Arabidopsis thaliana: one gene and its partners. The protein of the gene in region 1 purifies or fractionates together with the protein of each later gene. This does not show direct contact. Each region holds a gene or a part of one and is shown in the gene's direction. Other genes may lie near its edges.

The links.
Region 2: the proteins of AT3G46210 (region 1) and RRP4 fractionate together in Arabidopsis thaliana (co-fractionation; one large-scale study listed by BioGRID). This does not show direct contact.
Region 3: the proteins of AT3G46210 (region 1) and AT2G25355 fractionate together in Arabidopsis thaliana (co-fractionation; one large-scale study listed by BioGRID). This does not show direct contact.
Region 4: the proteins of AT3G46210 (region 1) and SMU1 fractionate together in Arabidopsis thaliana (co-fractionation; one large-scale study listed by BioGRID). This does not show direct contact.

Annotation. Positions count from the first base shown.
Region 1 is NC_003074.8:16,976,085-16,980,727, reverse strand, and holds AT3G46210 (Ribosomal protein S5 domain 2-like superfamily protein), read left to right. Parts: upstream 1-1,811; 5' UTR 1,812-1,863; exon of another isoform or gene 1,864-2,144; intron 2,145-2,225; exon of another isoform or gene 2,226-2,228; 5' UTR 2,229-2,238; coding exon 2,239-2,344; intron 2,345-2,432; coding exon 2,433-2,546; intron 2,547-2,662; coding exon 2,663-2,763; intron 2,764-2,846; coding exon 2,847-2,867; intron 2,868-3,091; coding exon 3,092-3,164; intron 3,165-3,237; coding exon 3,238-3,305; intron 3,306-3,384; coding exon 3,385-3,517; intron 3,518-3,664; coding exon 3,665-3,768; 3' UTR 3,769-4,097; downstream 4,098-4,643. Other genes in the region: AT3G46220 (E3 UFM1-protein ligase-like protein), read right to left, coding at 72-137, 311-358, 521-787, 879-1,190, 1,381-1,554. UniProt on the Arabidopsis thaliana protein: Probable component of the exosome 3'->5' exoribonuclease complex, a complex that degrades inherently unstable mRNAs containing AU-rich elements (AREs) within their 3'-untranslated regions.
Region 2 is NC_003070.9:822,640-826,913, forward strand, and holds RRP4 (ribosomal RNA processing 4), read left to right. Parts: upstream 1-1,877; 5' UTR 1,878-2,013; coding exon 2,014-2,174; intron 2,175-2,251; coding exon 2,252-2,353; intron 2,354-2,462; coding exon 2,463-2,508; intron 2,509-2,613; coding exon 2,614-2,703; intron 2,704-2,782; coding exon 2,783-2,848; intron 2,849-2,947; coding exon 2,948-3,016; intron 3,017-3,105; coding exon 3,106-3,540; 3' UTR 3,541-3,760; downstream 3,761-4,274. Other genes in the region: AT1G03350 (BSD domain-containing protein), read right to left, coding at 195-1,607. UniProt on the Arabidopsis thaliana protein: Non-catalytic component of the RNA exosome complex which has 3'->5' exoribonuclease activity and participates in a multitude of cellular RNA processing, maturation and degradation events.
Region 3 is NC_003071.7:10,799,201-10,804,267, forward strand, and holds AT2G25355 (PNAS-3-like protein), read left to right. Parts: upstream 1-1,890; 5' UTR 1,891-2,190; coding exon 2,191-2,241; intron 2,242-2,333; coding exon 2,334-2,408; intron 2,409-2,649; coding exon 2,650-2,736; intron 2,737-2,932; coding exon 2,933-2,989; intron 2,990-3,333; coding exon 3,334-3,426; intron 3,427-3,737; coding exon 3,738-3,810; intron 3,811-3,929; coding exon 3,930-4,005; intron 4,006-4,094; coding exon 4,095-4,185; intron 4,186-4,268; coding exon 4,269-4,391; 3' UTR 4,392-4,522; downstream 4,523-5,067. Other genes in the region: AT2G25350 (Phox (PX) domain-containing protein), read left to right, coding at 1-388, 506-670, 791-1,033, 1,157-1,498; AT2G25360 (RING/U-box superfamily protein), read left to right, coding at 5,049-5,067.
Region 4 is NC_003070.9:27,723,179-27,730,544, forward strand, and holds SMU1 (transducin family protein / WD-40 repeat family protein), read left to right. Parts: upstream 1-1,812; 5' UTR 1,813-1,880; coding exon 1,881-1,906; intron 1,907-2,417; coding exon 2,418-2,628; intron 2,629-2,718; coding exon 2,719-2,871; intron 2,872-3,319; coding exon 3,320-3,368; intron 3,369-3,611; coding exon 3,612-3,695; intron 3,696-3,847; coding exon 3,848-3,951; intron 3,952-4,086; coding exon 4,087-4,173; intron 4,174-4,270; coding exon 4,271-4,324; intron 4,325-4,689; coding exon 4,690-4,785; intron 4,786-4,948; coding exon 4,949-5,073; intron 5,074-5,319; coding exon 5,320-5,446; intron 5,447-5,544; coding exon 5,545-5,604; intron 5,605-5,702; coding exon 5,703-5,810; intron 5,811-5,904; coding exon 5,905-6,005; intron 6,006-6,147; coding exon 6,148-6,199; intron 6,200-6,445; coding exon 6,446-6,544; 3' UTR 6,545-6,853; downstream 6,854-7,366. Other genes in the region: AT1G73710 (Pentatricopeptide repeat (PPR) superfamily protein), read left to right, coding at 1-987; EIL3 (ETHYLENE-INSENSITIVE3-like 3), read right to left, coding at 7,256-7,366. UniProt on the Arabidopsis thaliana protein: Auxiliary spliceosomal protein involved in splicing of specific pre-mRNAs that affect multiple aspects of development. Required for proper accumulation of SMU2.

The DNA of each region.
Region 1 (4,643 bases):
CTGGCTATTATTCCATAACTTAGATTTCACAAACTACAGATAAATGACGCTAAATTAACATGATACAATACCTGTAAGAACTGCACAGCTTGAGAAATCCCAAGCTTCTGCATGCTCTCATAGGAGATGTAGGAATTCTGCAGGAAAACAGAACAACCATAAATCCGTTGATCCACCATTTCTTAAAGAAAGATTAATTTAAAGAACATGCTAAAACTGCAGTCTGATAAAGTTCAAAATATAGGTCTTTTCCACAACCAACTGATAAATAAACGGACTAAAGACATTTCAGATAAAATGATGACCAAACCTGTGAAAAAGAAGAGTCTACGCATTCCTTTTGAGCAGTTGCAAAAGCCTGCCACCAAAATCAAACAAGTTACTCTAATGAATGGTAAACATGGGAAACATCAAGCATAGACAAGAGTGCACTCATGAAATTTTGAAGACTGTCGTAAATTAATAGAGTGGTAAATCCATTCGTGGCAGAAACCCAAAAGATAAGAATTTTATGACATACACTAGGAGTCCAATGGGTTCCAGCACGTAGTGATCCAAGCATCTCCTCTTCCTTCAACAGTCGGTTAAATATAGACTGGAAAAATGAATTCTCAACAGCAACTCCACTGGCTCCATTCGTTTCTTGTACCAACTGTTGCAATGGTGCCCACAATGCCGACAAATTGGAAGGAACAAATATACCCCTGGAAGCACCTCGAACCATAGCGGTCACACGTTCTACATAAGCAGGTGTATATAACTGTCCACCTTCTAGCCTAGCTTTCACCTAAAAAAGATTGAAAAAAAAATCCATAAATATAAAAGTTCACATTCACTTAAACACAATCTGGAAAGCTCAAGAGGAGAAGCACAATTACCAAAGTTCCAAGTCGAGGCTCTAAAACCGATTGCACCAACTCAGAGCCAACCTGTAACTGACCAGCAAGTTCAGCCACAGCAATTTGGCTACACTCTTGAAGCCTCTCATTAATTTCTTCTGCAATCGAATCCCAATAACTTTGTGATATTATTTCTCCCTGAACTAACATTAACCCTGGATCATTCAACACCACATCTTGTGCTTGCTTCTCCACATGATACAAATCAACCCCAATCGTATCTGCCAGATCAATAACAGAGACACGTCCCAATTTACTGATCTCACGAGTAATTTCATTCCTCAATTGCTCCTGAAACAAATCAAGATCAAACAACTTAACTTCATTTTTTCCGATTAAATTCCTCATGCAACAAGAAGAGTTAGCAATTTTTCACTCCATTAACACATTACTCACATCATGATACCAGAATTCTATGCGAAACCCAGTGATGATTCTTCTGGAGTCTAAATTCACACCGGAAACGAAATAGAATCAGTACCTGAGTGATGTATTCTTTTCCGGTGACGGTATGAAGCAGATCGAAGTCAATAACGCCAAGCTCCTGAAGCTTCTGAACCAATTCGACAACATTTCGATCCGACAATCTCACGCTTGACTTCACCTGTTGAGCGAACTCGAACTGACGCTGCAATTCCAACAATTCATCATCCATCTTCCTCTTCGCGTTATCACCGGAATTTGAATCTCAGATCAAAATTTGATATCGTCGATGCGTCGGATTTTTTCCGTCAGTTATACACAAATTCTTCTCCGGAAGATTGATTATGTTCAAACACCGTATTAAGTATCTTTCCTCAATTGAGTTTACTGGTTAAAGTTAAACCAATGTTTGAATAACCGGATTAACCGGTTTGTTTTCGGTATACTCTAATTGATTTGAAATTGAGGGTTTTGAAACAAATAAACCCTAATTCTTCGAGTTTCTCTCCTCTGGTGGTTTCAGTTGTTCTTCCAGCTTTCAGTTCCGTAGCTGTGTATTCTCTCTTTCGTTAGTCTTCTTGTTTGATACGGAATCGTCTCTGCTTCTAGCTTCCTCAAAATTAGGTTCTTAGTCTAGCTCTGTGTTGATTCGTGTGTCCTTTTGTTCATACATCGTCTTTTATGTGCTAGATAACGAGTATTGTAGAATTGAAAGAACGATTTTTTTGTCTCAATTAACAAAAAAACTACTCGGATGTTGGTCAGAACCATTAAAATACACCTACTGTTGAGCTAGAAGCAGTTCAAATTTTGTTTTCAGTGGTAACAATTCACAGTTATAGAATCTGAGAATTTGATTTTGTGACAAAAGATGCTTACTTTGTGAAACCCTTTTGTGTGAAGAAGTATTGTAGCAATGGAGATTGATAGAGAAGATGGAAGAACACCAAATCAGCTGAGACCTCTTGCTTGTTCCCGTAATATCCTTCATCGTCCTCATGGCTCTGCTAGTTGGTCACAAGGTACTTGTTTTAATCTCCATGTTTTTTGTTTGTTTGATTACATATATCAGCACTTTCTAATGGGTATGCTTCTTGTTTATATTTTCAGGGGATACAAAAGTTCTAGCTGCGGTTTATGGACCTAAAGCAGGAACGAAAAAGAACGAAAATGCTGAGAAGGCTTGTTTTGAAGTCATATGGAAGCCTAAATCCGGGCAGATTGGTTCGTAAATGCATTTAGTTTAATCATGTCTGGATGTTGTTTTGTTGCTTGAGTATGCGGTAGAGGTGATTCTTGGTTTTTAGATTCTGACTGACTTTTACTTTGCATAATGATAGGAAAAGTTGAAAAGGAGTATGAGATGATATTGAAAAGGACGATACAGAGTATTTGTGTTTTGACTGTTAATCCAAATACCACCACCTCAGTGATAATTCAGGTGAGTAGCTATTTCATTGTTGTATATATCGATTTATCAACTTGAGTTGTATCTGAACTTTTCATTCTTTGATTCCTGTGTAGGTTGTGCATGATGATGGTTCTGTATCCTTTTTATGATCCTTGCCTTTTGGTAAACATTTACTGATACTGTGTCAAACACATATAATCCAGTATAAGCAATCTTGGTTTTAGTATTTTTAGAGTTTTTAGCAGTGAAAGTTTGTAGTCCCATGAGCTGGGAGTGTGAATATGTTTTAGTGGAATAATTGGTGCATTACTTTAGAAGACAGTTTTTGCTGCTTTTTCCTTGATTCAATTCTGTTTAGCTTCTACCATGTGCGATAAATGCAGCATGTGCAGCGCTTGTCGATGCAGGAATCCCTATGAAGCATCTGGCTGGTACATTTACACTCTTCTCTAATTGACTTTGTGTGTTACTTCTTACTGTTTCATCAGCTTTTTGTTTTTTCAGTTGCTATATGCTGTTGCCTGGCTGAGAATGGATATCTCGTACTCGATCCAAACAAGCTTGAAGAAAAGGTTATTTAAAAGCCTTGTTGTCCATTGTTATATTTTCTTTTGCGTGTTGGTTATACTTACTTGAAACTGCAATGGACAGAAAATGACGGCCTTTGCTTATTTAGTCTTTCCAAATACAACTCTCTCTGTTCTTCCGGAAGGGTCATCAGTAGCGGAAGGCGAGCCAGTAGAGCATGGGATCATCACATCAATTACACATGGAGTAATGTCAGGTACTGATCAACTTTCCTTTCTTGAATAGAATTCACTATGGTGTATTATGCTCATACATTTCATTTGTGTAAGACATGTTTTAAAGAACTTGTTTCTCTCAATCACTGCATCATCTATAATTCTGAATTCTTGCCTTTTTGTTTCAGTGGACGATTATTTCCTGTGTGTAGAGAACGGCCGTGCTGCTACGGCTAGTTTATCTGCATTTTTTAGAAAGAACTTCCAACAAAGTTCATCCAAGGCTGGGTAAAAGCACAAATTCATAATGGTTTGCATGAGATTTTGAAACGGTTTCATATTACTCCTGTTGTAGCTTTGATAGAATCCTTGTCGTCTATGTGTCTAATCAAAAATCAAAAGCTAGTGGCCTATTATCTAGTATCATTAGATATGTGAACAGATGAACCTCGTATCTTTAATACAAATGGTAGCCATGGTCAGAGCTATTGATTCATCACTTGTCTTGACAATTTTTCAGCCCGTGGGGATCAGATTCGAGTCAATTATAAAGAACATGTTCATGGATTATACTGTAATTTACTAGAAAATCTAGTATAATTTCTAATAACAAGAGCAGATGAGCTATTTATTTCAATTATCCAACATATGAGATGAACGATAAGCACAACAAGCTTCAACAATATTGGGGAAAGTAGTAATGAAAACAAATTGGCCCCTTTCTGATCAATAATACTCCATTACTCCTGATAGTTGCAAATTGGATTAAAGCTGGTTCAATAATCATAGGAAGGCCCGGACAAATTTACGGAACCGAAACAACTGAACTGGAACTGAAGTGAAAAGAACCGAACCGAACCAAACTAAACTCATCGAATAGTTGAGATATAATACTGTCCTGAAATGTTGCCGTGGATAAAAGAAAACCGCCCAGTCCGAACCTAAATTGAGCCCGCCCATAAAAAACTCAAATTCAAAAATTCCGAAAGTTTTGGGACTTGTGGATAAAACTCAGAAAAACACATGTGTTCCAGAACTACATGTGGGTATCCGAATTATATAGAGATATATTTTCAATTGTATTTATTTTCTGTTTCTATATATAGATATATTTAAATTATATTCAGTGTCATATGTATTTACTAGTATCATATATACTAATATTAT
Region 2 (4,274 bases), on another chromosome or scaffold:
CGCAAGATGAATATATTCAAACTTTCCTCAAACCACCTTCTCAAGTAAAATTTAAAAACATATTTTCAAATCAATGTAAAATAGAAACGTTGAAGAGAAAAACAACTGAAGAATGGGGGCAAAGCGCCAGAAACTTGTAAAAACAAGTAAAAGGATTGGCAAAAGTAAGAAAGCACACCACTTTAAAACTAACATTAAGCTTTGGATGATGATGATTCTTCTTCGTCATCTTCATCAATGTCCCAACTTAAATCTTCATCTTCCTCTGCAGCACTCAGACGTTTACGCAGCTCAGCTCTGTTTGGACTACCACCAGACCGACTCGTTTCCTTACCATCTATGCTACTCATATCCTCGATCTCGTCCCATCCCAAATCCTCTTCAGATGGTTGTTGAGTTGATGAAGAAGCAGCCACATCTGGTTTAGCTGAGTCTTGGGATGGAGCAGCCTCATCAGATTTTGGTTTGACAGAATCTTGGATTGGAGCCTCATCAGATGTTGGTTTGACAGAATCTTGGATTGGAGCCTCATCAGACGCAGGAGGAGCAGCATCAACAAATGATTTTTCTTCTGGAACTTCCTCACTATCAGTCTCCTTCTTTTCCTCAGAATCTTTATCTGTCTTCAAACCAACATTGCTCACTTCAGTCACTGAATCTGCACTTGTCACTTCATCTTGCGTGCTCACTTTAGCCACTGAATATGTACTTTCCACTTCATCTTTCACAGTTTCACTCACATCTCCACCACCCATACCATCATTCCCTTCAAGTTTCAACCTTGAAACATCTTTGGTAGCTTCAACAACTTTCTCGCTGCTCTCCTCTTCATCATCAATATCCCAGCTCAATTCTTCTTCATCATCCAGAGAGATGGCTCGTTTCACAAGATTAGCCCTTAAATCCTCAGCTTGCTTGAGCTTGTTAACCCTATAGAAATACCTAAACCAGAAGGTCTCGTGATCAACCATACTCGGAACGACCCTTTTATACACTCCTTTCATATCACCATTTTCCTCCAACAATTTCTCCATCTCCTCAGCTTTTCCATCCAGAGAAAACGCAGATTCCCACTTTTTGTAATCATCTGAATCCTCAGGCTCTTCACAGTAAGTGTTGAGATCTCCTTGAACAGCACGAATCTGAGCATCGAAACGACTATATGGTTTCGAACTGAAGCTATCACGACGACCAAAACTCTGACTACTATTGTTATCAGAAGAATCAGATTCATTACCAGCGGCTAAAATCGCTTCCTTACCTTGAGCAATAATCTCAGCCGTACCTTTTAGCACCGTGTTCCCAAGCTCATCAATCGCATGTCCCACCGTACCAAGCGATCCCTGAGCCACCTCGATCTCTTTCTTCAAACCTGTGCCAAATTCTTCGAGATCTCGTCGGTAGGTTTCAATCACGGATTCGGATCTGGTGGCTAGAGTTTTCATCAGACCACCGAAGCTCCATCCACCGTCGTCGTTAGATTCAGATTGCTCTGGATGTTCTTGCTCTGGATGTTCATGCTCTTCGCTGTGTTTCGGTGAATCGGATTCGGATTCGGTTTCTGGAGGATCTAGGTCTTCCGTGAAGACGGATTTGAAGAAATTCATAGCGTAAAGCTCAGATCTTACCAATCGGTACTCTCAGATAATTTGTTTGATCCGTGAAAGAATCAATTTGAAGAGTGAAGGATTCGAATTAGCGTCAGAAATAGGAAGATCACAAAAGACTTGAAGCTTGTCGCTGCAGAGACGTCTAATTTTTTTCCCATTTTTTTAATGAAGATAAATAATACTTTATTTGGCGTCAATTATCAGATTAATGGGCCAGAAGTTTTATAAATGGGCCAGAAGTTGGATATGTTAGTCCAACAAATAACACAAAACCCTAGAATTCATTCAAGGGAACTAACGTCAAGGTTTTTGCTCTTCTTCTCTCCCAAGTCCCAAACTCGTTTTGCATCGCCATTGTTGTGTTGCTGGAGCTAAATAGAGAGAAAGAGAGAGAGTGTCTGTGATGGTGATGAGAAAGCTACAGTTACCGTTGAGCCAGACGCAGAAGGTTAGGTTTGAGAGAGCAATCGAGCGGCTTCAATCACTGTCGTCGTCGGCTAACTCTGACGCTTCTGTTATCGTCACCGACTCTATTCCCGTCAACCATGACGATGCCTTCCTCAAGTAATTTCATCTCATTCTCCCTTCTGGATTGAAATTTTTGTCAAATTGCGTTTTCACGATTGGTTTTTTCATTAAAGGGGACATGGAACTTCCGAGGTCGATGGTGAGTTGCTCGCGACGGTCTGTGGAGTAGTGGAGCGTGTGGATAAGCTTGTCTATGTACGCACCTTGCGAGCCAGGTCTGTGATTGATCTTTGAATTTGTTTAGTTTCCCAGAAAATGTGAATAGAATGGACTCTCTACTCTGAGATTAAGTAGAACTGATGGTTTTGATGATCTACGTTTTAGGTACAAGCCTGAAGTTGGGGATATTGTGGTAGGCCGTGTCATTGAGGTAGATTTTTGTTTTGGTGTTTGGATTTTTGAAATCGGATTGAGTGAGTAACATAAAGGTTTCAATCACATTGCACAGTTACTGGATTGATCTTTACTTATTCAGGTTGCTCAAAAACGTTGGAGAGTGGAGCTCAACTTCAATCAGGATGGAGTACTGATGCTTTCTTCCATGAACATGCCTGATGGTATTCAGGTACAGTTTGATTCTTGATATTTTGCCATTTGGATGATTGCTTTTGGCTTCAATGATATAAGTTTATTGTTGTTGCCAGAGGCGAAGAACCTCTGTGGATGAACTCAATATGCGGAATATCTTTGTAGAGCATGATGTCGTATGTGTAAGTCCTGTGATTAGTAATGTTCCAATCTTTACATATCTTAACAGTTACGTCAACCTGACTAAAAGGGTTCCCTCTTTGGTTTGTTCAAACTCTTAGGCTGAAGTACGCAACTTTCAGCATGATGGTAGCTTGCAGTTACAAGCCAGAAGTCAGAAGTATGGCAAGGTTGGTTCTCATTTGGTCACATGCTCATGTAGTTATACCTTTCGCTAGTCTCTTCCTCTGAACATTGATTAATCCATGAATCGCTACAGCTCGAGAAGGGACAACTTCTGAAGGTCGATCCTTACTTGGTTAAGAGAAGCAAACATCACTTTCATTACGTAGAAAGTCTTGGGATTGATTTGATTATTGGCTGCAATGGTTTCATATGGGTTGGAGAACATGTCGAAGTGAGAGATCCTATGGCAATAGATGATCAGAAAGATGAGGAAATGATCTCATCCTCCTCCACAGGAAAAGAGCAAAGCCATATTCCACTCGAGACTCGACAAACCATATGCAGAATCGGGAATGCGATACGTGTCTTGTCTAATCTAGGCTTCACCGTGACACTAGAAGTAATCATGGAGACTGTTAACCTCAGTAACTCAAAGAATATTGACATACATGATATGCTTGGATCAGAGTTTCACGTTGTGGTAGCAGAGAATGAAGCTGAAAGAAGACGTACAAAGAGGAAAAAGTGAAAACTACCCCTTTTTGTCACTGATGTATCAGAGACTTGTAACGTGTATTAGATCATTCGGTCTTGTTTGTTACTCAGCTTCTATTGAAAGTTCGAATTTTAATCTGATTGAGATATGTAGTATGATGGATGTGTTTGATACTATTAACTGTACATCAGATTAGATTAGTCGAGTTATGTCTTTTGGAGACGGCTTTCTTCTTTCATTCATGAATTTATCGGTTTCGACTTTTGTAGCTGAAATTCGTTTTGTGAAAGGATCTACAGTTGCAGAAACAACATAGAAAAGATTCGCTGCCCTTTTTAGCTCGGAGAAGGGATAATTGGGAAATGACTAAAATACCCTCATGAGAATCCAAGTAATAACAGCGATTACCAAACCTCTTCTCTCATTCACGAAACAGTGTTCTACGGCCAATTTCTCTCGCTCGCTCCACACTCCCAAAACAATATTCTTCTTCTTCGATTTCTCACTCTCTGTTTGTCGCTACCGATCTTATTTCCCGCTATTTTTGTTCCGGCGCCGTTCTCCTTAAAGTCGCTATTGTCTTCGTTGAAGGTCAGTTTACGGCCTTTTTTAAATCCATTTTGGTGTATTCGTGATTGTTTGTGGGTTGAATGATCGTGCGATTATTTGGGGTTTTTAATTAATTTCGATTCAGTAACGGTTCTGAATTGCATTGCGATTAAGCACTTAATCAGAAAGTAGTACGCTTTAGATTTGAGGAATCTCTG
Region 3 (5,067 bases), on another chromosome or scaffold:
CAATGGAAAAGCTTCTAAAGGTGTATTTCGAGCAAACAACGACTTACGGTGTCGCTCTGAATCAGAAACTAGTCACTCAGTGATGCATGATCGAAAGCTTTCTCTTGAGAGCGCTGACGGGGTTTCGTTACTAGCCGGTGAGACATCAACCTCTAGTATCTTGAGCTCCATTGTACATAGCCAGCTGGATGTTAATCATGATATATCTGTTGGTAACCTGGAGATACCGGGTAATGGACGAATAGTTCTCCCGCTGAAAATGCATAGTAAATTAAATAGGATTCTATTAACTATGAATGAGAGACTTCTCAATTCAAAAACAGACATGGAGGATCTTATAGCGAGACTAAATCAAGAGACAGCGGTGAAGGAATATCTGAACAGAAAGGTACATGATTGAAAATAATAGTACATCTGTTTTCAAGTTTGTTGGTAATGAAATCTGCGCTTCTTCCTTTACTCTTCATGCGAATGTCATATATGTAATCTTGGTTTTCCTGTTCAGGTTGATGATCTGGAAGTGGAACTTGAAACTACTAAACAGAGAAACAAAGAGAATTTGGAGCAAGCTTTGATGACCGAGAGACAGAGTGTTACCAAGATGCAGTGGGATATGGAAGAACTCAGGCAAAAAACTTTTGAGATGGAACTGAAGTTAAAGTCAAAAGAGGTATTGAAATTTGAAATAGTTCCATCTCAATCACATTCTTTCCACAATTAAGCAAGTTCACATCGAGCGAGTAATTTATATCTAGCAAAGTAACTTACTGACACCTGCAAACTAATACAGGATGGGAGTTCAGATTCTAAGACGTCAGGAAACTCAACAATCTCTGAGAGCCATGAGCTGTTACAAGAAATGGATGCCACAAAACAGCAACTGGAAGATCTTTCTAGACGGTATGTTGAACTGGAGGCAAAATCAAAGGCAGACATAAAAGTGCTTGTCAGAGAGGTCAAATCCCTGAGACGTTCACATATGGAAATGGAAAAGGAACTGACTCGATCGCTGACAGAGAAGTCTGACACTGAGGTAAATCTTAAGCTTGTAAATAAAAAGCATTATATTATTGCTTGCATCATCCGCTTGTGGTAAATGTATATGATCCTACAGAAAGAACATCAAAACATACTGAAACATGTTTAATTTTTTCAGAAACTCCTCCAACAGGAAAGGATAATAGTCGAGAACACGCTAGAAGCAAGAAGAAGGCTGTATAGTGACTGTGAAATTCTCCACGACAGGCTTAAAGTGAACAACACAAACTTGTCAATGGATGAGTCCAGTAACAACAGAGAAGACTTATCTGAAGTATCAAATGCCTTGCAAGATCAGATTGAGGTAAGCTATTGGTGCATCTCCTTTAATATCTGTAGCAAGAAAAATCGTATTCAAATGTTTACATTCGATAACCATGGCTCAAAATCGCCAAGCTGGATTCCTCGTTTTAAATTTGAAAGTGGCATATTTTCAGGCGCAACTGCTGTTAGGGTTTGATGAGACTGCTTCTGAGGATGAGCTGAGGAAGATAATGGCAGATATGTATGAGGACTGAGGAGAATATCAAATTGAGAAAACATTTGAATTCCGCAATGCAGGTTAAGAGCTCTGTGAAAGAGGAAAACGAAAAACGCAGAAGGTGAAGAGCTTATAGAATAGATATACCATGTACAGAGAAAAGTAGAGCAGAAAGTTGGTTAGTGACGTAAATCCCTTATTTTGAATATGCGAGTCAGATTCTTCTTTATGTAATTAATTGATGTATATGCACACACATGTCTACATCAGATCACCTAATCCATTGTAAAATTCGAAACCATCAGTGTCATTGTTTCTTGTTCACCAAAAACAACTACCATCCATCACTCATGGTCCACAGAGCAGTCGTTGAAAATCAGTGAAAGAAGTGTCATTTTGTCCCAAAAAAAAAGGAAGGACGAAGGAGACTTTTTAGTTGACCAAATCATATGGATCTACTAAACCGAAATAAACCACTCATAACCATTATAGTAAATTACTTGGTTCGGAGTTTTTAATTTCCGATCGTCTTCAACATCACCAAAGCAAAAAACTTTAGGGTTTTAGTGTTTTTTAGGGTTCTTCTTTCTCTCTACCTCTCAGTTCTGCTTTTGCTCTGTCTCCCTTCATTGGATAAATCAATTGGTGTTGTTAGCGAAGAAATAAGAAAGATGGGTACTGAAGTTTCTACCTCGCCGACAAGCCTCATTGATCAGACTGTTGTGCGTATTTTCTACTAAAACCTCTGCTTCTTTGATTATCGTTTTAGATTGGGATTACATTGAAAGATTAAGTTTTGTGAGATGGGTTTCAGGTTCCAGGTGATGTTGTTCTCGATTTATCAAACATGACTAACCAAACAATCAAACTCGGCAGTGGTCTCCGTCAGGTTTTTAACTTTCTCAAAATCACTTGTTCCAAATCTTCGATCATTTTTTTGGAGTTTGAAATTTGTTGTGTTGAGTGTATGAATGAATTAATGAATGTTTTGCTCATTATTAAACAAGTTATGTTGAATTTTGGATCTTGCATTGGCATTTGAGGAATAAACTTAATTTGGAATCTACAGTTTGCTTTTTGTTGGGCTTGCAAGGCTAGAAGATTGACATATGATTTTGAGGTTTTTTCAGGATAATGAGGTGATATCTGTTATGAGAGCTGGGAAGTTGAGGTACTCTAAGCCAAATAAGTATTGGGTGGAAAGTTCTCATAAAAGGGTGAGAACTAATTAGTTTCTTGCTGGTTGTATTTTGCAATAAATTGGTACCTTTTTCCTGATATCTCCTAGCTCTACTAGTTATTCGATTGTTCATCTGCGCTTAACTTGTCGAAAAAGTGGTGGTTTTGCTCTCTAGTTTGAAGAATTACTCCATGTTACTCGATTTTGACTCTGTTATTATGTTTTTTTTGCAGTATGTACCTCGTCCTGAGGATCATGTTCTTGGCATTGTGGTAGATTGTAAAGGAGAAGTAAGTACTCTAAAGACGATCCTTAAATTTTTGTTAGAGATCCTTTTCCCTTGGACCCTCTGAATCAAGCATTTTTTCTCTGTATACAGTTCATTTAATGCAAAAATCATGTATAAAGAATATTGATTTCGGTTGTGCTCTATCATTATCCAACTTCTATCATTGCTCAGCTTGTTTGTTAGTTACATGTATATGTTAATAAATACTTGAGATCATGGATAAAGAAAACGGCATAAGCCTTTATTTAGAGTGTTGCCCCTAGAGTTCTCAGCCAAAGTCATGTTGCATGTAACAAAGTAGATCATAATATTTTGAAAATCGTTTTGACACATGTTTCATTGCAGAACTATTGGATAGACATTAAAGGACCACAATTGGCTCTTTTGCCTGTGCTTGCATTTGAAGGAGCAAACAGAAGAAATTATCCCAAGTTTGAGGCAAGTACCTTCTGAATATACTTCTTCAATCTGAACCATCATCAAAATAGTCTCTAGCTGGTAACTGCATTCAGTTGTTTGAGATGTTAGTATTGCCATTACAGTGTATTGAGAATTTCCCTGGAAATTACAATGGCTTGTGTGTGATATTGAAAGGATCCAGTACTTCATTGGTTTGTTTATGAGCATAATAGGCACTTTTACTTCGTCTGGAGTTGAGCTCATCAACTCTATTTCAAGTGGATTCGCTGTATTAAGTGATAACATAGTGATCACGTGTTTTTGGGAGTTGTGACAATTTGTTGATACAGGTAAGCACTCTGCTTTATACTCGGGTTGTGAAGACAAACACAGGAATGAACCCGGAGCTGTCATGTGTAGACGGTTAGTCCATCCATTCTTTTTTCTCACAAAGTTTAAAAAGTTAAATCATTTCCTTGTTTCTCCGCATTAATTGTTTAGACTAAGCAATTGCTGACTAGAATTGTTGGACAATGTAATAGAAAGTGGAAAGGCTGCAGGATTTGGTCCCTTAAAAGATGGTTTCATGTTTGAAACTTCAACTGGTTTATCTAGAATGTGAGTTTCACTCTTATTCCTTTATTTTTCTTCTAGATGAAGTGGCCTCTTCTCGACTTTTTCTCACTCTTACACTTTGTTCTTATTAGGTTGTTGAGTTCACCAACTTGCCCGGTCCTTGAAGCTCTTGGAAAGAAACTCTCGTTTGAGACTGCGTTTGGCTTAAATGGGAGATGTTGGGTAAGAAAAACAGTGATTGCTTCTTAAGAATCCAAACAATGCAACTGGAAATCGCATGGTTAATATCTTCTGTCTGGTTTCAGGTGCATGCGGCTGCTCCTCGTATAGTGATTATCGTCGCCAATGCGTTGATGAATTCTGAAACTTTAAGCGGGACACAACAGAGAATCATGGTAGAGAAATTGCTGGAGAAAATTTCAGACTGAAAAGTGTGTTGTATGCTTAACAGTATCACTACTTTATAAAAGAAACGTTTTAATTCGCATCTCTTTTTTTAGTATGTAGACTACACTCATATGTTTCTCTTTGAGATAAAAACAAACCAAGATTAAAATTTAAAAGAAACAACATGATTCGTCTAACGATAAATTGATAAGTTTTGGGAGATGGATTAGAGGAACTAGGGTTTGGCAATATTAATTGAAAAATCAATCGATACCAATACAATAACAGTTACAAACATTACGGTGCCTTCATAGCAAAGCAATTAATAAGAATTTATTTGACAACTTCTCTCTTATATATAAGTCTTCAGATTTTCCTACTTGAAACCAAAACGACATGGAGAGACGCGATCAAGACTTGAGTTACTAAAAACGGCGACTAGATTCTACCATAACCGGAGATTTCCCAAACCCTAAAGGCGAGGGTTGTTCTACAGTCGTCCTATCCGACTCTGCTGTGAAGAAGTTTTCAGACAATGTCGTCTACAGATTGTACACCAAGGGTTTGGTGGTGGAAGGTAAGGAAAAGACCGTGAAGTCTGGATTAGAGTTGCGATTTGCGATGAGAAGGAGAATTTGTTGTATGAGATTAAAGAATCACTAAGCGACACTAAGATTAGCTGCATAGAAGTAGAGAGCATGGCACTGATTCGTGGGT
Region 4 (7,366 bases), on another chromosome or scaffold:
GCTTATAGCAAAGTGGGGTGTCTTGAAGAAGCTAGGAGAGTGTATGACAAAATGAAGGATTCAGAAGGTGGCCCAGATGTTGCTGCATCAAACAGCATGCTAAGTCTGTGTGCAGATCTTGGCATAGTTTCTGAAGCAGAATCCATTTTCAATGCTCTCAGAGAAAAAGGCACATGTGATGTTATTTCGTTTGCAACAATGATGTACTTGTACAAGGGCATGGGCATGCTCGACGAGGCTATTGAAGTGGCTGAAGAAATGAGAGAGTCTGGTCTACTAAGTGACTGCACTTCATTTAATCAGGTTATGGCTTGCTACGCTGCTGATGGGCAGTTAAGTGAATGCTGTGAACTGTTTCATGAGATGTTAGTTGAAAGAAAGCTCTTGCTGGATTGGGGAACATTTAAAACGCTCTTCACGCTCTTGAAGAAAGGTGGGGTGCCAAGTGAAGCTGTGTCGCAGCTACAAACCGCATACAATGAAGCTAAACCACTGGCAACACCAGCAATCACTGCAACTCTGTTCTCAGCCATGGGTTTGTATGCATATGCGCTGGAATCATGCCAAGAGCTCACAAGTGGTGAAATTCCTCGCGAGCATTTTGCATACAACGCAGTGATATACACTTATAGTGCATCAGGAGACATTGACATGGCCCTAAAGGCATACATGAGAATGCAGGAAAAAGGTCTAGAACCAGATATTGTCACGCAAGCCTACCTTGTTGGGATATACGGGAAAGCGGGAATGGTGGAAGGTGTGAAGAGGGTACATAGCCGGCTGACGTTTGGGGAGCTTGAACCAAGCCAATCGTTGTTTAAAGCAGTTAGAGATGCTTATGTGAGTGCAAACAGACAGGACTTGGCTGATGTGGTGAAGAAAGAGATGAGCATTGCTTTTGAAGCTGAAAGGGAGTGTAGTTCAAGATCTGGAGAAGAAGAAGAAGACGATGAAGAGGAAAATTCTGAAGAAGACGAGGCATTTTGAAGTGTAGCCACAGATGTATGTAAGAAATATTGTAGAATATAGGATTTAGTGGAAATGGACTGTACAGTTTCACAGAAGCCAAAGGAAATATGCATACTTAAGCCTCAGATTGATCTCTGGTAAAGAAATGTGTATCTTAAAACTGTTATAGAAAGAAAAAAAAAGGTTCCACAGGGTCAAATCTATAAAAGCGAGCACCTTTGGCTATGGTTTTGGTAGAGGAATTAGCATACGCTCCTTACAACAATAGATTGATTTGCATCATCGGGTTGGTCTTCTGTTGGTTTTGGTCTCTGGATTGAACATCTTTCTCCTGTCTTGCTTGCTCTTATTTTCAATTGTATAGCATCAAAGCCCATGAAAAGAGCCAGATGTTCTGGAATTGATTCCAATTTGGAATCTTGTCAGTTACTGGTGATGAATATCAACATGGAAGATATGAAACAGAGTAGCCAGCAAATTCCTTCCATTCGGAACAAAGAGTCTCTCAGCTTCAGTCAAAGTATATCAGTTATTGATCTCAAGAAAGTAATAGTAGTGAGCAATGAAGATGATGATGGAGCTCTAGAGTTGAAGAACAGAGGAGTGGAACGAACCAGTGGAGAACTCTTGAAGACCACAGTGTCAATGTGTTTATTGTTGTCTTTGTCTTTCTCTAAAAGTTGTAAAAAAAAAGGGTGTGAAGCTAAAGCTAAATGGTATGTAAGCAATGTTTTGCAATTTTAAATTTACAAAATAACACTCGGAGTTTCTGAAAGTTTAATTTTGACCCATAATATTTGATATTTGAGGCATTGTCCTGGAATTAAAACCAAATTGAAACTCCTTCGCGTGTGTTTTCTGCTGCATTTTTACCTCTTAGCGTCTCCGGCGAAAACCCACTACGACTGAGTATGGCGCTCGAAATCGAAGCTCGAGAGTAAGATTTCGCTTTCTCTTACAAACCCTAGTTTTCGTTTAGTGTCACTGATATGAATTGTGCTCCAAGAACCATCGTTTACGAATGCTCAGATGGATCTTAGGTTACATGTTTGGAGAAAACATCTTGAATGTTGGTTTTTTTATATCCTCCATACTAAAGTTGTGGTTTTTAAATCTACCCATAATTTGTTTTAGCTTGGTTCTTCTAAAGCTAATTGCTTCTGAATATCTAGATTCCTCCGTAGCTATTCTTCGTTTAAATTAACGTCGTATACGAAAATTTGAGGGAGATCATCGTTAGAGTGTTTTGATTCTTTGCAATGCGTCTCGAGGAAAAATCCAATTTGTATAAATTTGAACTCTTGTTAATTCTCGGCTTGGATTGAAACCATTGACAGTATTATTAGCCATTTTGTTAGTAATATTGGATGGAGAACGTTTTGATGCTATATGTCAGCTTTGTGTAGATCTTCATCCCTAATAGCTCTCTATTGTGTTGAATGTCTCAGTGTAATAAAGATTATGCTTCAGTTCTGCAAAGAAAATTCCTTGAATCAGACATTCCAGACATTACAAAGCGAGTGTCAGGTTTCCTTGAATACAGTAGACAGCGTCGAGACGTTTATTTCTGATATTAATAGTGGAAGATGGGACTCGGTACTACCTCAAGTTTCCCAGCTTAAACTTCCCAGGAATAAACTTGAAGACCTTTATGAACAGGTTTGTTCTTTTACTCTGTGAAATGTAGAAGTGTATAAAAATAGTGATTGTCATTGTAAGTTTTGTTTATTTTCGGGGTGATTTTTTCAGATTGTATTGGAGATGATAGAACTTCGAGAGTTGGACACTGCCCGAGCTATTTTGAGACAAACTCAGGTGATGGGTGTCATGAAGCAGGAGCAAGCAGAAAGATATTTGCGGATGGAGCATCTTCTAGTCAGAAGCTATTTTGATCCGCATGAGGTATGGAAACTATATTATGCTCGACTATTCAATATCACGTTGGGTGTTGCTTTTGTTGTTGCTGTGTCACCTAAGCATGGTTGTCCGCAACTGTTCAACAGTTCAAACAATGTTGCTATATCTGTTATCTCTTGCATTTTCTGTACTCTACTTGCGACTTTTGATATCTTTCAAAATCTTAAGTAGAACCAGTGAGCGGTTAAACATGAAGTTGTTTCTAGATGAGGGTCTCAAAGTATAACACATGCTCGTATTTCTGAGTACAAAAGTATCTTTACATGTTACTAGCTCTTTTACATGTTGATGGATTTGACTTTTCTATCTGATTAGTCTTTTGAGGTGTATTGTCTCCTAGTCATTGTTCATGTTATGCACAAAGAGTGGCGTTTTTCATGTAATCATTTCCTTGTGATAATCATGGTTTGCTAATTTTACCTTTGTTTCTAAGGCTTATGGAGACTCAACTAAAGAAAGAAAACGGGCACAGATTGCTCAAGGTTGGCCATTTCTTCTTTATTTTCTACAATAACAATTTTCTTCAGTTATTGTATGATTAATTACCTGAAGGAACCAAGTGATGTTCTGGAATACTCTCTCTATTGCATGCTTAAATATTATTATGACATGAAAAGAAGTTATGACGAGAACTTATTTCCTGTTTAATGGTTATAGAGTTTTTGTTTTCTCTTGCTCAGTATGTACTCAAGGTTCACTAATTGTTTGTTCTCCTACTCGATCAGCTGTGGCTGCCGAGGTTACCGTGGTACCACCTTCACGGTTAATGGCTTTGATAGGTCAGGCTTTAAAGTGGCAACAACATCAAGGTGATTATCTAAGGAACTGTGGATGCTACCAAACAGTTCTGTCAAACTTCATCTCGTTTTCTTTTACTTTTTTGCCTACATTACTAATATATCAATGGAATCAACATATGTACCCTCTCTCATTTCCTAAAATTTACATACACTTGTGTCAGGCCTGCTCCCTCCAGGAACACAGTTTGACCTCTTTCGTGGGACGGCAGCTATGAAGCAAGATGTAGAAGACACACATCCTAATGTTCTTACTCATACCATAAAGGTTCATATTCACACTTTAATAGCTTCTTTAGCTTAGTGGTCTATGATCTGTTGCTCATGATTATTTTGGGTTTTCTCATCAGTTGAGTTCTTGTCTAATTTTCATATCTTTTTCCTTGTGCTGGTGCTGGTGCAGTTTGGTAAAAAGAGTCATGCAGAATGCGCTAGATTCTCACCAGATGGACAGTTTCTTGCATCTTCTTCTGTGGATGGTTTTATCGAGGTGAGTTGATCCGGAATCTGTATGTATGATAATACAAGTTATTAGTCTTTAAAATAATTCTGTGACTAGGATTGCTCAGACTTGAAAAGCATTACAGGTATGGGATTACATAAGTGGAAAGCTCAAGAAGGATTTGCAATATCAAGCTGATGTAAGCTCTCATGTCTTCTTTTCATTTTTTAATTCTAACTCAGTACGGGGTCAGATGAGCTGTTAGTACATTTTAATCAAATGAAAATAATCCTTACTGCATCTGATTATTGAACGTGTGACAAGTCTGTGAGAATGATATGGTGGATTACTTTTTGCTTTTTATTCCAAAAATGTCGCCCATGAGATTCCTGAAGCACCAAGTATATGGTGGATTACTGTTATCTTTGAATTTTAATTTTTTCTCCAATGTAACTCCTAAAGCACCAAGTATCTCGTCTGAGACTTCCTGGTATACAAAATATCAGTTTTGGATAAAGAGTTCCCATTCCATCCTCTTTACTTACTATGATTAATTTCTGACAGGAATCTTTCATGATGCATGATGATCCTGTCCTCTGCATAGACTTTAGCAGAGATTCAGAGATGCTTGCATCTGGGTCACAAGATGGAAAGATTAAAGTAAGTTCCAGCTGCATATGTTTCCTTAAAGTTGAATTTTTTGTCTGAAGATAGACTATTGCGGCAGTTTGGTAGATATATCTTCTTCCTCTCATTGGTCCCATATGTATTCTGATTGAATACAAATAGAAAAACTAGACTTAGATGCATGTCACTTTTGCAGATCTGGCGTATAAGGACTGGTGTATGCATACGTCGTTTTGATGCACATTCCCAAGGAGTTACAAGTCTTTCCTTCTCTCGGGATGGAAGCCAATTACTGAGTACCTCCTTTGACCAAACTGCAAGGTTTTATTAGTTATATCTTTATTTTTTTATTTTGTACTTGCGATATGAATCTCGTCCTATCAAAAACTTGAGGCTTTATATTTCTTTGATGGTAGAATATTCTTTTAACTTTTGATTGCATCTTTTTTCTTCTTGTTTTTGTTAATATTTTCCTTTTCATTTGGTAGTTATGTAAGTTTATTGGTAGAGCTTCTAGTCGAATATAATATCAAATTCTTATTATATATTTTGCTTTATTTTATGCAGAATCCATGGTTTGAAATCTGGGAAATTGTTGAAAGAATTTCGTGGTCACACATCTTATGTAAATCATGCCATCTTTACAAGTGATGGAAGCCGTATTATCACTGCCTCCAGTGATTGTACAGTAAAGGTAAATTCTTCGGCTTTGGCTGTCAGCAGTATCATTGTTTCTCATTTGGACTCTCTGCCCCTTCTGCCGTGTAATAACAGTCTTGTTTCCTTGCACAGGTCTGGGATTCTAAGACGACAGATTGTCTACAAACATTCAAGCCGCCACCTCCGTTAAGGGTATCTTTTCTTATACAGATTTATGTACATCTTGTAATACTTTTTCTGATCTTCTGTGGCAAACTCTTTGGTTACCAAGTCTGAATTTTGAAATATAGGGAACTGATGCATCAGTCAACTCTATTCACTTGTTCCCCAAAAACACAGAACACATTGTTGTGTGCAACAAGACATCATCTATATACATTATGACACTCCAAGGACAGGTAAATTTCCAGCAACGGTCTCCTGCAAATCAGTGTCATTGTCATGCCAAAACTAAGATTGTTCACATGCTTCTATATTGGAATCCTTTTGCAGGTTGTGAAGAGTTTCTCATCCGGTAATAGGGAAGGAGGAGATTTTGTAGCAGCATGTGTATCTACAAAAGGAGATTGGATATACTGCATCGGCGAAGACAAGTAACACTCTAACCTCCTATATCTATCGTTTTATTTTTGGATAAGTTCCACGAGTTTGATTTCAAAGGATAATCTTATGGTTCCTTTCTTTTCGGGTTTCATCTTCTGCCTTTGATGTTCGTAATGGTGTTTGCACCTACAGGAAACTGTACTGCTTCAACTATCAATCTGGTGGACTTGAGCATTTCATGATGGTAAGTTTATATCCGTAACAGACATGCTCCAAAAGATTTTGGATGTTGGAAATTTGAAAGTTGCATTTGAGACAAACACATAACAGTAACTCACTAGAGTAATGAAGTCCCTTGTGTGTTATAATGTTTGATTCATCTGTTCTCCATTTTAGAGCTCAGATTATCATCCTCTCTCTCTCTCTCTTAATACTTATCTTAGTTGTCTTTTATTAGACCTGGTTTCTGAATAGTTTATGCTTATGACAGGTGCATGAGAAGGATGTGATTGGTATAACACACCACCCGCATAGAAACCTCCTTGCTACCTATAGTGAAGATTGCACTATGAAGTTATGGAAGCCCTGAGTTTTCTCATCATCAAGTCTTGTTTTCTGTATGATTAGTCTGTCTTTATTTGATTTGCACTCTTCTCGGGTTAGAACTAGTGTAATGTGAAACCATCTTTGCAAAGATCTCAGCCATTTTGGGAACACTACCCACAGACTCTAAAACCAGCATTTCAGATTTTAAGACCGTTTCACCTGGCCTTGAGCCTTGTAGTAGTTTATTTAACAACGTGTCTCCTTCCTCTTTGACCTTCCCAGCCAGTCAACTCCCATATACTTTTTAGTCTTAGGAAAGAATAAAGTCAAGCTCAAAAATATATAAAAAAAAATGAAAACTTGGGAAGTTCAAAAGAAACAAATAATGATTCTCTTAACTTGATGAATTACTCACAGGTAAATTTACAAATGATGATACGCTAACTGCTTTCCCTAGAGACCATTACAACGGGCAAAGCAGTTCTTCTGGCAACTTATTCAAAAGGAAAATTGTTTCTCTTAACAAATCTAAGAAAATATTATAAGAAAAAAAGAGGAAGAATATAAGATCAGAAGAAATGAAGAAGAGAAAGTAACTGTACTAGCCAGACTATTGCCATGTCCTTTTGAACCTACAAAAATAACAGTAAAACAAAATACATCAAATCTATAAACTAAGATCAAATATATGAGATGGTGTTGTGTAATAAAAAAAAAACTTACTATGTAATCTCCCAAAAAAAATGGCAAGACACTAAGCTCCAAACCATGAGAAATCATCACCAAAACCACCATAGTCAAAGTCCAAGTCAGTCAATGGAGACAGAATGCCACTCTGATACTGAGGCAACTCACTCCCTGTTAC